Nothobranchius furzeri: one gene and its partner. The protein of the gene in region 1 purifies or fractionates together with the protein of each later gene. This does not show direct contact. Links are inferred from orthologs where the notes say so. Each region holds a gene or a part of one and is shown on either strand. Other genes may lie near its edges.

Region 1 (7,775 bases):
TAAATGAAGGCCCTCCATGATTTATCTACTGTACATCTCTTCTCGTAGCAGCTGTAACCTGCCACAACTGTTTGGCTGAGCAGATTTAGGAGGTAAACCTGCAGCTGCCCTGTCACTTCGCTTGCTCTCCTCTCCTTGCTCTGCTCTCCTCTCCTAAGTACTCAGTCCTGTTGAACAATATGGAACAACATTGTTAACTGTGCACTGACTTTAAGGCCTGACATCCAAAGTGAATTTGTCAGTTTAGCTGTATCTCAGTGATTGCCTGTAACGACAAACTGGTTTTGCAACACTATGAGACCATGTTTAGATGCTCACCCCTTCTCATTTCAAAATCGCCCTGGGCGGCCATAGCCTCCAGGATTGTTTGAGCCACCACCATAGCCACCTGAGAAAGGGGGAAATTAATTTGCATCAAAACAGACAAGCGAGTAGCAACCATATTGATCTCAAATACTCACCTCCACCAAAGTTCCTGCCGCCGCCGCCACCACCGCCGCCACCGAAGTTATTCTTCATCGGCCCAAAGTTAGAGGCCTGGGGGTCGTAGTGGCCCATGTTGTTGTAGTTGTTACCACCTCCACCCCCGCCGCCACCACAATTACCTTAAAGGTTATTTTCTGTTATATTGTGATGCTGGGCAGAAATAAACATGGTTTTTACCAAGAGAATTCTTACCGTAACCATTGTTGTCATAACCATTTCCTCCATATCCACCGCCACCGCCTCCTCCTCCACCACCTTGGTTGTAGCCACCCTGATTATAACCACGGTTTCCACCTTGGTTGTAGCCTCCAGGACTGCCAGGACCACCGCCATAACCTGAAATATAAAAAAACATTAGTACTCTAACAAATCATTCAAAACCCACTTTAAATAACTAAAAAGGTGTATACCTCCTCCATCACCCCCATTGCAATTGTACGGACCATCGCCATATCGACCACCCCTGCCACCTTATGAGGGGAAATCAGGATTTAAAAACTCACCCTATTACACTACAGGTGTTGGTGTTCACCATCACACCCTACCTTGGTTGAAGCCTCTGTCGTAATCATATGGCCTTCCCCCGGTGTTACGGCCTCCTCTCGATCCCATGCCCACACTTTGCATTTCCTGCTTGGTGAGGGCCTTCCTCACTTCACAGTTGTGCGAGTTGATTGTGTGGTATTTCTGGACTGTTAATTGGGAGGGACGGCAACATTTTAACCACACATAGCACTGCAGGTGAAAGCTTGCAAGATAAACATTTTACTTACTGACAATCCTGTCAACTGAATCATGGTCATCAAAGCTGACAAAGGCGAAGCCTCTCTTCTTTCCAGTGTTACGGTCAGTCATGATGTCAATGACCTCAATTTTGCCAAACTGCTGGAAGTAATCCCTCAAATGAGATTCTTCTGTGTCTTCTTTTATGCCTCCAACAAAGATTTTCTTCACAGTTATGTGAGCGCCTGGGCGGTTGGAGTCCTGCAAACAACAAGAGCGCTTAATCCCATTCGTGCATCATAAATCAATCTGGATAAGCTGGCTCACATACCTCTCTGGAAACAGCTCGCTTAGGCTCCACCACTCTTCCATCCACCTTGTGTGGACGAGCGGACATGGAGGCATCGACCTCCTGCACTGACGAGTAGGTGACGAAGCCAAACCCCCTGGATCTCTTGCTGTTTGGGTCTCTCATAACCTAAAGGCAGAAACGCATCACAGCTTTAAGCAACCAACCAAACGTTACATTACATTTAAAAAGAGACATAAAGGTATGCGTACCACGCAATCTGTAAGGCTGCCCCATTGTTCAAAATGAGCCCGTAGGCTCTCGTCTGTTGTCTCGAAGCTCAGGCCTCCGATGAACAGCTTGCGGAGCTGCTCCGGCTCACGTGGAACCTGCACAAAAATATTTGCGTCATAGGAGAAGCAATGCACAATATAGTTCCGCATAATAATATTGTCGGTGGACCATTTATATCAAACTCTGCGTCTTTGATCAAAAATCAGGGATAGGGTGGAGAAGGCGCACCGCCGCCATTACAGTTTAGGAACCGCTCAGACTAAAGTCAAAGAACTCCTTCTTTCAAAGAGCCAACACACAATTAATATGTACTCACTGTCGTTTAATGTGTTAGGGATATAATCGTTTAAGACTGGTGTTGAAGAGAAGCCACTGATGTCCTTTACAGATCATCATCAGAACAAAAGGCCACGAGGCTCAGCTTCTATAAAATGGCGGCTTCAAGAAAGCTCTGCAGCTACGGCACACAGTCCGTCGACAACACCAAGTATGGCCAACCTATAATAAAACTACCCAAAACCAAACTATTAATCTTACGGCCTGATATCCTTTGATAAGTTTAGCACTCACCTCTTTAGACATTTTGCCGCTTTATCCTTGACGACTCCTTGAGAACCGACCGCAGAGGAACTAGCTGCGTCAGACAAGACCAGCGACAGGGTGAACGTACAAGAAATAGGAACGGAAACGCCTCTTCCCCTCAGCGATTGGTCTGTAGTTCCCGCGGTACTGTGTCGTCAATCAGAACTGTATTTTGATTGGTCTAAATTTTGTCAATCAATGCGAACAACCATTCACTGCGTAGTAGGCATTCGCCTTTGTCGACCATGAAGAAAAATGGCCGACCTAAATTACATAAAGCCAAAAATGAATGTGCCTTCATCTATAAACAAATTATCTGAATTGACAGAGAAATTGAATGCTCACATTTAAAAGGTGCTGAAAAAACGACTTATTAACTTTTTTCTACGAAACGAGCCTAAGAAAGACAATAAACAATATAAAAGATAGACAAATTGCCGTCTGGCTAAACAACACGGGAAATATCATTCGCATGTTGGTACACAAGATGTCCCGTAATCAAACAAACCGATGCAAAATGTACAACTCTTGAAGAGTTTATGCTAAAGTATAATTTAAAATGAGCCAAATTAGTTAATCTGGGCTTTGTGTGTGGTGACTAAAGGGGGAAAATAACATGAACATAGAGAAATAAATAAATGCAGCAAGATTTAAACGAAAAATATATGAAAACATAAATTACTACAACAAAGTAGACGTATATATATTAATTTCTTTATTTTCAGTCAAATAATTGTAACCCTTTATGCTGTGTTTTTTTTTATTTTGTATTATCGTGTATACTTATTTTGTAAATTATTGTGACTGCAAGTTACTACAATTTTATAAACCGAACGTTAACGTTATAGAAAAGTTAAAATTTAGTAGGAAGGAACGTGTTTTCTAAACATTTATTATGTCACCAGCAGACTGGGGGCGGGTATGTTCATTGTGCGTTTTTAACGCGCGCTTTTTGCGCACGGCACCTTTATGTGCTACAGGCTAGATGCTAACGCTGGTGCTGCATTAGCTGCACTGCTGCCTCTAGATAAACGGAGCAGTCCCTGCGACCAGCGGCCTACATCCAGTGGGTTATACACTCCGAGGGTAAGAAACTGCGTTTTTGTAAATGTGCTTTACGCTGTTGCAAGTATCGGGTAGTTGTTTGATAAGTAAATTAGCGAGTATAGCATAGCTTTAGCACGTAAGCTAGCTCCTTTGGCTAGTTTGGGGTTAGTTAGCAGGACAAATCCCTTGGTCTTCATTGAACTGTGTGCTTTGTTCGTTTTCTGTGAGTGCAGTCTGGTCGCATATAACTATTTCAAACGGGCATATGTCGAGAAATGCACATGTATGGCCATTATATTAGCAGTTTTCCCATGCTTATCGTTCTGCTAGTGGGAAGAACGAGATTAAATGAAGATATTCATTGATGCACGGTAACCACGTTGTGTGGCTAACGCTCATGGTTGCAAACCTGCAGCTTGAGCTTAAATTTATGTGTTTACATGTGGACGAGCGCTGAGAAAAAATGGCATGTTTTGTGAGATGCTTGTTTGTGATTTCGTCGTGAACAGGAAAGTGCCATCGAACTCTAAAAGAGTGTAGTGTGAAGCACCCAACTCCGAGATGGGCAAAAAGTCACGTGAAGAGGAGTCCTCATCTGATGAAGAAGAGTATGTTGTGGAGAAGGTGCTGGACAGGAGGGTGGTGAAAGGCAGGGTGGAGTTCTTCCTTAAGTGGAAAGGATACTCTGAGTAAGTACCAAGTACCTGTTTACTGGTCAGTGACTTGATATTCCCGTTTTACACACACACACACACACACACACACACACACACACACACACACACACACACACACACACACACACACAGCACAAAAAGCATCAGTGAAGCTGGTTTGAGCACACAATATTACCCTTTTAAAAATGAACGTGACATTTCAATGACTTGTGCTGTGATTTTCTGCAGCAAGCACAACACATGGGAGCCAGAGAAGAATCTAGACTGCCCTGAGCTTATTTCAGAGTTCATGAAGACCTATAAGAAAAGCAGCAGCAGCGGTGGTAGTTCGACACCTAGCAGCGGGGCCAGTAAATCAAGCACAGGCTCATCTGGACGCACTAAAGATCCCAGCAGCTTAAAAAAGAAGGGCTCTGATGAAGAGGAGGAAGAAGAGGAAGGAGGAAGTAAGCCAAAGAAGAAGAAAGAGGTAAATTATCTTCATTATAGGTGAATTTCATTGACTACGTTTACATGCAGCCAATATCCGGGTTATGATCGGGTTAAGGTCGGTATTCGGGTTTCTGAGTTGATCAGAATAACCCGTTTACAAGCCCGTTTACAATAAATAGAAAGAGTTACCCCTAACTTGCATAACCCGATTTAAATGCGGACGGTGGGGTAGCGTCAAGACATATGGACTACGTCCAGACGCAATATGCCTCATTTCCGGTTCTTCTTGTTCCGGTATCCGTGAAAACAACAACACGTTTCCCAGTTCGGAAGAGACGGCGACCGCGTTTGTTTGTGCTTTAGTTTCTTCGTCACTGCGAAAGTGTGGTGCTGTGCCGCGACTCGCCATGTTGCTCCCAACTTGTTGTTTACTTCCGGTGTTCTGGCGCATACAAGACGTCTCGCTACTCAAAAGACCAAGATTCCTTGCGAACAGAGCATGTGCAGAACACACGCTTTGATGGGGATATCCCGGTATGCGTTTACACGACCAAACATTCGGGTTAGAAAAGGGTTACGCCAGGTGTAGTAACCGGGTTTTTAAAAACCCGGTTATGAGCATATCCAGGTTTTTGGCGGTGTTTACAAGGACCTGCGGAACCGGGTTATTGTGAATATTCGGGTTTTAAAAGGGTTACTGGCTGCATGTAAACGCACTCATTCTGATATGAATCATTTGTATGCGTGGGAGCATTTGTACTTAGCTCTTCTGAACTGATTTCTGTAAAGACTGTTTATATTTTAGCTAAATGTTGTAAAATGTATAATTTTGAGATGAAAATGATAAATTGTTTTTTTGAATTACCAATAATGCATTAACTTATGGGCAGGTGATGGGCAACACCTATACTTATTAAATAATATAAGTTATATCTAGATTTGACCTGTGTTTAGAATTGCTGAATTTATGGCCAATGAAATAGCCCTTTGGCAAATATTCAGCTGGCATTTTTAATTTTTTATTTTTTATTTTTTTACATTTCAGGATGAGATCCTAGTTGCACGTGGCTTTGAGAGGGGCCTAGAGCCAGAGAAGATCATTGGGGCAACCGACTCGTGTGGAGACCTCATGTTTCTAATGAAGTGGTAAGTTTTACTGGTAGACTCATTTTGGGAGATCTTCATTCTGTTATAATGACAATGCACTTACTTTTATGCACTTTGGTAATCATAATGCACCCATTTCGTAGTAAAACAAAATTTTCCTCAGACATAAACATTAGAAGCTAACCTAGCACAGGGGGGACTAACAGGCCTTTGTAGAGCTTGGTGACCTGCTGAACAGGTAATTCAACCATTCAGGTGTATTGCAGCAGTGAGATGACTAAAACATGCTGGGTATGGGGATCTCAGACACACTTGATCTAAGAGGACTACTATTCATTCTCGTATGACAAAGAAATATGCTTAAGTATTATAAAGTACTTACATTTTCAACTATTAAATGTCTAAAACAGAACTGGTTAAACGGTGCAGAATTGTTGCACCAGAGCACAGCACGATGTCCTATCATGAGCTTAAATGTCTAACAACCTGAATCTTTAACACCACATTACTACTGGCAAATCATTCATTAGCTAATCGCTGTTCCGTCATAAACAGTAAGCCACATCATAAAACTTTATGCTATTGCATATTAGCTAAATTTATACATGCAGTAAATTGTCCCTAAGCAGAAGTGATGGTTGTAGATTTTGGAAATTTTGTTTTGAAATGGGAAATTTGGTTGAAATAATTTGGAAAAGTGAAGGACAATAAGGACAAACTAACAATCCCTAACAATGCGTGGATTCCTTAAGTTCTCTTGCTGTTCTGGTTTCTCGTACAGGAAAGACTCTGATGAGGCAGATCTTGTTCTCGCCAAGGAGGCCAATCATAAGTGCCCACAAATCGTCATAGCCTTCTACGAGGAGCGTCTCACCTGGCACGAAGACGGCGACAAGAAGGAGAAGGATGCTGTTAGCGCGTGAGTGTATCACCTCGGGAGGAATCCTCCACTGCAGGGACTACCTTAAGTCAGACATTTTTTTCCTCCATATCCAAAACTTTCATGTACCACGTCCAAAGGCAACACAATGACAGGCGATGCATCTTTCTCTTGTCCTCCCCTCCTTCCTCCATCCACGTCCCACTGGAGCACAATGACCCGGGCTGCTGAGAGGGGGCCGTCGGGCTGGAGGAGAAGATGTAGTGGGTGTGGGTGAAATGCTACTTGGGGAACTTTCTACTGTATTGTCTTTGTATTCATTACCTTTTTTTAATATCGATGTATGTTTTAGTGCTTACAGGATGTGATTCTATCAGTGAGGAGTGCAGTGTTATGATCAGGTGGGATTGAGTTGGAGTATTGACATTATGGAAGTAACCATCTCTGCACTTTCCTGTCTGTTTAATCATGTCCTTTTTAAACTTTTTATCTTTGTAGATTTTTTTTTTTTTTTTACCAAAATACAACGTTTAAATTTGAACAATCTTTGCTTGGTGATTCGCTTGCTAGAATTTTTTTATTTGCCGTTTTATTTTGTTGCTGCCTAGTGGTAACAAAGTAAAACCGCATAGACCGTGACCAAAACAGATGACAGCCTCTGAGGTGTGTGTGTGTGTGTTTGTGTTAATCAACTTAAGTATTTTTTTAGACATTTTTATTTCTCTAAAATCCTCCCTACACAAAAAAAAAAAACAACAACATTTTACCCTTTTCAAATGTGAGATAGCGGTCAATTTCAATAACTTTTTAGTTTTGTTTTTCTGGGTAATTTTAACATTTTGGACCAAATAGTTGGTGTATTCAGATGTTTTTCCTGGTTTAGTAAAACCTTAGTGACTTGCTCCTTTTTTATACATTTTATTCATATGACCAGTTTTTAATGTTAATTTGCCAAGTCGGTTGGGTTCTTCCATTAAAATGGTTTTGTCCTAACTTTTTACCCAAGCAGAATTTCCAGATTGTTGAGCGGTTTTCTTGTGTCAAAATAAATGTTACAAACATGTGTACTGTATCACCCTTTAATAAACATTTTCAATGGTAAAGTGTATTATTTGTATTTTATTGGAGAAAATAAGATGCATATTTTTCTCCAGATTTAACTTTCTGCCTCAAATGGTCAGAAAACTAGATACATGCTATAGAAGAAATTATTTTATTATAATTGCTTTTTTTTTTTTTTTTGCAAAGGAAATCATAA
Region 2 (7,775 bases), about 22 Mb from region 1:
ACATGTTCAGTAGGGCTGCACAAATATCGAAAAATTATCGTCATCGGAATAACAGGACGTGCGATAGGCCCATCGCAAAGCACGTCAAAAATGGCGATAAATGTTTGGTTCAACATTTCCATCCGTGTCATACATCACCTTTTTGTAAACCAGCTCTGTTTTTTTACGCTGAATTATTATTTGACCAATCAAATGGAGCCCTTCTGATATGCGGCCAATCAGATAGGTCCGTTTACGTAATACGCCCACCCCCTACGTAGACCTTAGGATGGAAAGCAACACCCGAACTGAGTTAGAGGCGCCGTTCCCTTGTTCGTCATGCTGGCTCAGATTAACAAACGCACTTTGTGCTGAGGTTTCTGGAATCAGCGCTGCTTTCAAACGTGAACGTGAGTTCGCTCGGTGTCGTTAAGCAGCTGATAATAACCGGGCTGACTCCGACACGTGCCGGTGAACCAACCCACCTTCACGTCGCTAGTGTTCCACCGGGTGGTGATGTTAGCCCCAGGCTCCGGTTAGCTTCCAGCTAAAAGGCTACAGCACTCTCCTCCCAGTCCCACCCTGCTAAAGAGGGCCTGGAAAAGTTCCCCCACACATCAAAGTGATTTTTCATTTATGAGCTTTTATAACCTTGTTAATCAGGATAGTTGATTTGCTGCTGCACATAAACTGTCAGTCAGAAGCTCTGCTAGCCGGTTATCTTAGAGGAGCTAGCTCAGTTTGTTAGCTTGTTATCAGAATCATAGTTGCAGTTTCATCATCAGGGCTGCTTTTAGCTTAAAGCACACGTAAAGACCACCCGCAACAGCTACCAGGTAGTGCCAGTGTATAGGGCACTGGCGCTACACTTCACTGCTTTTTAAGATCTAGGTAAACTTGTTCAATTTGGGGTTAAAAACAAACGTTTTCAAATATTTTCCATGTAGATTCTTGCCAGTTCCTCTTCTGAAAGGTAGACAATTGTTTTTCTCTTTCCCTCAGAAAATCTTAATATTCTCCTAGTTTGGCCCAGCACAGTTCACTTCCCAATTACAGCAACAGCCTTATATCATAACCACATAAGTGGAGAAAATGCTCAGTAGCAATGAGAGAATTTGCTGTTGCATTTAAGTGATGTTAACTATTATTTAACATTTAAACTTATTTTCTAATATCTTTATTTATTCCAAAAACCCTGGTAAGGAACGTTTTTCTGTATTTGGAGCATCAGAAAAAGTTTTATAGTGGAGGTGATGTTTTAAAGTCACTGAGAAACTGCATGCATGCAGTTTGTTGTTTTGCTGCTAATACAGTAGCTGGTGCAGCTGCTAATACAGTAGCGGGTGCAGCTGCTAATACAGTAGCGGGTGCAGCTGCTAATACAGTAGCGGGTGCAGCTGCTTATACAGTAGCGGGTGCAGCTGCTTATACAGTAGCGGGTGCAGCTGCTAATACAGTAGCGGGTGCAGCTGCTAATACAGTAGCGGGTGCAGCTGCTTATACAGTAGCGGGTGCAGCTGCTAATACAGTAGCAGGTGCAGCTGCTAATACAGTAGCGGGTGCAGCTGCTAATACAGTAGCTGGTGCAGCTGCTAATACAGTAGCGGGTGCAGCTGCTAATACAGTAGCGGGTGCAGCTGCTAATACAGTAGCTGGTGCAGCTGCTAATACAGTAGCGGGTGCAGCTGCTAATACAGTAGCGGGTGCAGCTGCTAATACAGTAGCGGGTGCAGCTGCTAATACAGTAGCTGGTGCAGCTGCTAATACAGTAGCGGGTGCAGCTGCTAATACAGTAGCGGGTGCAGCTGCTAATACAGTAGCGGGTGCAGCTGCTAATACAGTAGCGGGTGCAGCTGCTAATACAGTAGCGGGTGCAGCTGCTAATACAGTAGCGGGTGCAGCTGCTAATACAGTAGCAGCTGCAGCTGCTAATACAGTAGCAGGTGCAGCTGCTAATACAGTAGCGGGTGCAGCTGCTAATACAGTAGCGGGTGCAGCTGCTAATACAGCAGCAGGTGCAGCTGCATAGTTTTGCAATAAAAATGTTATGTTGTAATGGAATTCATGCATTAGTTTTTGTTTGCTTTGAACCCAGAGCAGACGTCACACGCCAGACGACATCAGCACTGCATACTTTAGTATTTGTTCATTTATCGTGAGTAATATCGATATCGCAATATTAAGCACGGTTATCGAATATCGCAGGTTTTCCTAATATCGTGCAGCCCTAATGTAAAGTATTTGTTGTACATTAAATCTCAACCGTGATGACTGACTTTTGTTCCTACTAAGAGAAAAAAAAATTGGTACGGACCAGAAAGTTCAAGTCCAACAACAGCTGATCCAATCAATGGAATCAACGTCTTTTATGAGTTCTGCTGGAACAGGCCAACAGCCAAACAAACCATTTTAAATGAAACTTTGTTGGGGCTCACAATGACCCAAGAGCCCTGATAAATGACCAGCCACACCCCCTTAATGAAGCCCTACAACAGGAAGACCAAGCAGAGCACTGATTGGTCAGTTGACCTTGATGTCTCAATGATGCTACATCATATGGATAATTCTATAAGCATTCAGGGGTAGTCTGGATAACCCCAGTCCACCCTAGAACGTTACGCCTGGATGTCTTCCTCACGTTCAACAAGGATGTTAGCAGTAGTTCGGGCTAGTGTTGTTGTGTGGTTAGCATTCTAACTACCAACATTTGTAAACTGCTGACGTTGAGGTGGGTTGGGACATGCAAGTTTCAGTTGGTTTGTCTATGACTATTGATCGTTACATAAAAAGCAGGTCGGAGACGGCACAGACTTTAGGAATGGTGCATCCGATCCCCCTAGCTCCCAATGTTCAACAAGATCAACTCTAGGATGCTTTAACATCTGTATAAATGAGATTGTTAAATTTGCCAGACTCAGCTAAATGTTTTAGTTCTATTGCTCAAGAAACAAGCTCTGTTCAAATCAAAGCTTCATGCAGGAAGGTCAAAGGTCACTGGTACACTAGGACAACAATCTACATTTCCAACAATTCCTGTTAACATCTCAGCTCGTTACCCCTTGAGGAATCTGAGGAAATGAGATATAGATGCTTTTGTGGGTCCATCACCTGCCTGGCTGACCCACCTGCATCCTAAAAGTCAACGACCCACCTCTCCCCTACCTGCCTTTCTCCTGCTTCCCTCCCTTTCTTGTAGATGGTGCAGCAGAGGACTCCCATTATGTAAGCCTCCCTACGTTCTGCCTGGCCCCTTTTCTCCCAGCCTTGCAACACCATCACAGAATGGCGCCTCCTATTGAGTAAGCAGCAGCCCCTACAATATGTCTGCAGCAGAGGGGGAGGGGAGTGGAGGAGAGAGTGATGTTGGAAGGGAGAGGAAGAGGAGGGAGAGAAGGAGTGAGAGAAAGAAATCATGGGGGGGGGAGTGTGCATGGAGGAAGAGAAGGGGGAGTGAGCGGGTAAGTGTAGAAGGAGTGCAAGGGGAGAGATGGGGGGGGGGGGGTGAGCCAGGGAGGTAAGGGGAGGGGGGGGGAGGCAGGGAGGTCAGGCACACAGAGAGGAGAGGGGAAGGGAGGACTGGGAGGCTGGAGGGACAGAAAATGGAAGAGGGTGAGAGAAAGAGAGGGCGATGCAGAGCAGGGGAGGGGAGAATAGATAGCCAGGGAGAGGCTGAGTAGGAGGGAAAGGAGGGAGAGAAGGAAGAGGACTGGGAGGAAATGCAGGAAGAGGCTGCTCTGCTGTGGCGATGGCTGCTGGCAGAGAACATGTTTCCCATTCTGCAGTGGTGCTAAAGAGAAAGAAAAGAGGCCTTGAAATCTTTAAATGCTGCCGAATAATCCAACAGGATGTGATAACCAATGTTCTCAACCCTCATGTTTACCATTCCTCCACGTTTACTAAGAGGTCACACTTCTTGTGACATCCATGTTCGCTTTAATAGAAGAATAATAGTCTTAAATGCCTCTGATGAGGTTTCACCACACGGCTCAACACCTGTAAACGGTATTAAAGGTGACAGGATGTCTGAGGGTGACCATGGCAGCACTGCTCCCCTTTAGAGGCACACACCTGAACTCACCTGTCTAATCACAGACAACCAGGACTCCCTCATAAACACTTCCTCACAATCGGGTTCAAAACCAAACTGTTTACACTAATGTGGTCACTCTCCTACAATCCCATAATAACCACAGGACAGATCGGTCGCTGTAGCAACGAACAGAACAAACTGTGGACCATCCGTGGTGTTCGTGATGAGTTAAATATCCAAGACAGCTGACAGAATCCAGATAGTTAAAAGCAAAAAGCTGCTGCAACTGACAAAGGAGGGATGGTGGTGCCGCGCTGAGCTAACATGCTAAGCTAACACCCAACAACATGGGTTGAAACGAAAGCTGTCGCATTTTCTCTTGGTTCTTCAATAACATCACGATGCGTTTAATTTAAGAATGAAACTTGTTTACCACCCCGACACACTAACACTAGCCACCACCACCCATCCCGTCCCGCAGGTAGGCAGCGGCAAGCGGCCACCATCTGTGGACTCTCCCCGGCATTAGGACATCCAGGTTTACCTGCTTTTACATCCAGTGCTCCCGTCTGAATTAAATGTGTCACCTCAGGATGACCGAGGTCGAGTATTCACGCTCCCGCTTGCACGGATATGTCGGTAATTCCCTCCCAGGTGCTTTGTGGGGGAGAAGTCACCCGGGCCGTCGGTCTACCTTCCCAGCCCGACAGCCCCTCAGCGACGAGGGCTATCCGCTTTCCCGTGGTCGGAGAACGGAAAGAGAGAGCTTCGGCGGGCGATTAAAACCTCCGTTTCCTGGAGCGGTGAAGGTAGACACATGTCAACTACCGACGTACTTTACACTCTGGTGAATTAATTAATTCAACTCTGATCGTAATTCTCTAACAGCGGGTTCCTTTTTACCCGTTCTCTCCCGACAGACAATACACATCCAGCCAACCAGCTGCCCTATCCAAAATGGCGCAAATCAAAGAAGCGGAAGTGACATATTCCTCATTAGCATAAATAATAAGACCAGGTCCTCGCTCTCATGATTGGTTTGCCAATCAGTTCGAACATTTAGGCAAACATCTGCTTAAAATAATAAATGCCTCCGTTGTCTTAAAGTTTGTGGACGGTATTGATTTCCTGTCTCTCTCTGCGGGGGTAAACAACCAGGCGCAGCAGTTACGTTTACGGTCCGGTAGCGGGCGTCCTGGTAGCTCCTCCCCTGCGGAGGCTCGGATGTGCACAGTGCCTCAGCACGCAGCTGGAGGCCGGGCCAACACTAGGTGGCGCTGTGATACCTCCATCCATTCAGCCGGGACTACTTTCCTGTAAGGTGGGACCGGACTCTGCATTTCTAGTTATTATAAAACCTCTTATTTGATGGTTACTGATGAACTTTTTCTTCTAAAATGTTTTAATACAAGTGTCTAGGGTTTGTTTCCAATTAAATGAAAAATACAGACATCTTCTCACACAAAAACCCAGATTATGTTCTAAACTACAGCTTTTAGCATGTTTCCTTTAATAGCAGACGTGGATTCCCAAAGATCTTAGATCCTTTAAGTGTTTCTTCCTGGATAATCCAGACATGTCCGTGATATTTTTGGGTATTTGATGTATGCCGACATTAAAAGTCTTACAAGTATATAAATGGAGTCAATTTCTAATTTTTGGATATGGCAGGTGTGATCAGTCTCAGGTTTCTGTTTCTTAAGTCAAGAGTTCATTTAAATTCGCATACAATTTCCATTGGATCAATTAAAAATAAACAAACAAGAGTCTACAATTAAAACGTGTTTATTTTTATGCATTTGCAAACTGTAATAATAAAGAATTCCAGAAACATTCTGCGATGGGATTGACAAGACTTGGGAATCACCATTTCTTCAGCATTCTGAAAACTACAGAAAAGAACATCTTCCACAGTTTTAACTGCTAACACCTTCCTTCTCCTGTGTTGTCCTGTCACCGTATGATTACAGAAAGTGGTGAACGTCTCTCTCTTGTTTTTAATTTGGTGAAACTTCTGTTTTAAAGACAAACTTGTGGAACGAGGAAAAAAAAAAGCTCCCAGAAGCTCTGAACATCGCTGATCACGTCGTGGCGAAGAGTGTGAGCAGTCCTCTCACAAATGACACGATCTCATTCCCTCCCAGTTTTGACTCTCCATAAACCCGATCCACAAAGGAAATAGGAACCTGCGAACGACGAGGAGAAAATAAACCTTAGTTTAATTTCAGCGGAAACGTTGAGAAGAACTCATACAAAGTACAAATATTCAAAGAACCCAACAGCGTGGTAGGTCAACACCTCTCCAATTGTGTAGTTGAGCTGTCTGGCTCGGACGATCATCTCCATCTGGAACACGTAACCTTTAGACACACACCGCTCCACCAGACTCTCCAGCACATTTTTCTTGTATAACCTTCCAAAAGCGTAGGGAAAAAAGCACAAAAGTGAGGAAACGGTTCAGTTTTCTAGTCAATGACGATTCAAACCTCTTGCATCAGTTACCTGAAGCTGCCCGTGAGGTCCGAAGCGCCGGGTCTCAACAAAACCTGAGTCAAAAAGTTAGCACCTCGACTAAGACACAGGAGAGAAAAACAAATCTCGTTTTCATCGAGCGTAGGAGAGCGGACACTGGTGACCAAGTTCTGCTCACTGGCCGTTACCTGATGAGTTTCCTGCGCAGGTCCCAGCCGTAGACACCTCCATTGCCCTGATAGCGAGTACCAGACACAAGGTCATAACCACCTTCCTTCTGCTTTCTGTGAATGAAATACGATACTTTACCTAAAACATGCTAGAATAATCCGACTCGTCACACATGGATGAAAGTTACCCTGATAATCAGAAATGTTGCGAGTCTTTATAAACGCACCAACTCATAACATAAAAAACAATTATACTTACTCAATAAATTCAGGAATAAACTTGGGCTGAAATAAAATAAAGACGAATAAAATACACAGCAGTGCAACAAAATAAATAAATAAATAAATACTCAATTGGACTTTACTAGCCATTTGTGTTTTTCCAGACAAGATACTCAAAAGATGTCTTGTTTCTAAGATATTTTATACATCAAATACACTCGTGCATCGACTCACGTGATGGGAAAGATCTGCATCCATGATGATGATGAAGTTCCCAGTGGCATGCTTCATGCCATGGATGTAGGCTGTGCCTTTAAAACATGAAGGGATGATTACATCCACTGGTAATGTTTATAAAGGAAATGCAATAATTTTACCAACTTACCAAGGCCTAATTTTTTCTCCCTTGGTCGCAGAACCTGAAAAATTAGAAGGATTTAACAATTAATGACTGTTGATTATCACTGTAAAGTTTTGTGATAAAAAAAACAAACAAATTACTTTTTAATTATTTTACACAGTATATGTGGTGCAACTTTAATGTGAATTTATCTTGTTCATGCTGAGAGATCAGTCTTAACTTACTATTTTGTCCTTTCCGTAAATTTTCTGCAACTGCTCTGCAACCTCCAGTGTCCCATCTGGGCTTCCGTCATCAATGATAATAATCTCATAGTCATATCCACTGTGAGAAATAAGCATTACTATCATGCCGACAGAGATTACTGTAAATCAATCTTTAGACATATAAAAAACTATTTCACTTAAAATGACAAAAATTATTTTTCATTTATCAATTTATTAATTCATTTATTAAAAACATTAAATATTATTTCACAAACGTTTTAGGAATGTAATCACAAGAGATGAATCCGTTCAAGTTACCTTTTAAAGACGCAATT

The links. The genes of interacting proteins can lie anywhere in the genome.
Region 2: the proteins of cbx5 (region 1) and adnpb purify together in Homo sapiens (affinity purification with mass spectrometry; 4 studies listed by BioGRID and IntAct, with this or other methods). This does not show direct contact. The link is inferred for Nothobranchius furzeri from reciprocal best matches to the Homo sapiens genes CBX5 and ADNP.

The regions. Positions count from the first base shown.
Region 1 is NC_091755.1:25,770,300-25,778,074, forward strand, and holds cbx5 (chromobox protein homolog 5), read left to right. Parts: upstream 1-3,322; 5' UTR 3,323-3,460; intron 3,461-3,930; 5' UTR 3,931-3,982; coding exon 3,983-4,110; intron 4,111-4,326; coding exon 4,327-4,567; intron 4,568-5,575; coding exon 5,576-5,676; intron 5,677-6,418; coding exon 6,419-6,560; 3' UTR 6,561-7,031; downstream 7,032-7,775. Other genes in the region: heterogeneous nuclear ribonucleoprotein A1, read right to left, coding at 330-388, 462-605, 679-822, 897-956, 1,032-1,178, 1,260-1,470, 1,541-1,687, 1,771-1,887 and 1 more. UniProt on the Homo sapiens protein: Component of heterochromatin that recognizes and binds histone H3 tails methylated at 'Lys-9' (H3K9me), leading to epigenetic repression. In contrast, it is excluded from chromatin when 'Tyr-41' of histone H3 is phosphorylated (H3Y41ph).
Region 2 is NC_091755.1:48,126,839-48,134,613, forward strand, and holds the start of adnpb (activity-dependent neuroprotector homeobox b), read right to left. Parts: upstream 4,761-7,775; 5' UTR 4,554-4,760; intron 1-4,553. Other genes in the region: dpm1 (dolichol-phosphate mannosyltransferase subunit 1), read right to left, coding at 6,091-6,195, 6,308-6,422, 6,512-6,580, 6,670-6,765, 6,911-6,936, 7,108-7,184, 7,259-7,292, 7,459-7,558.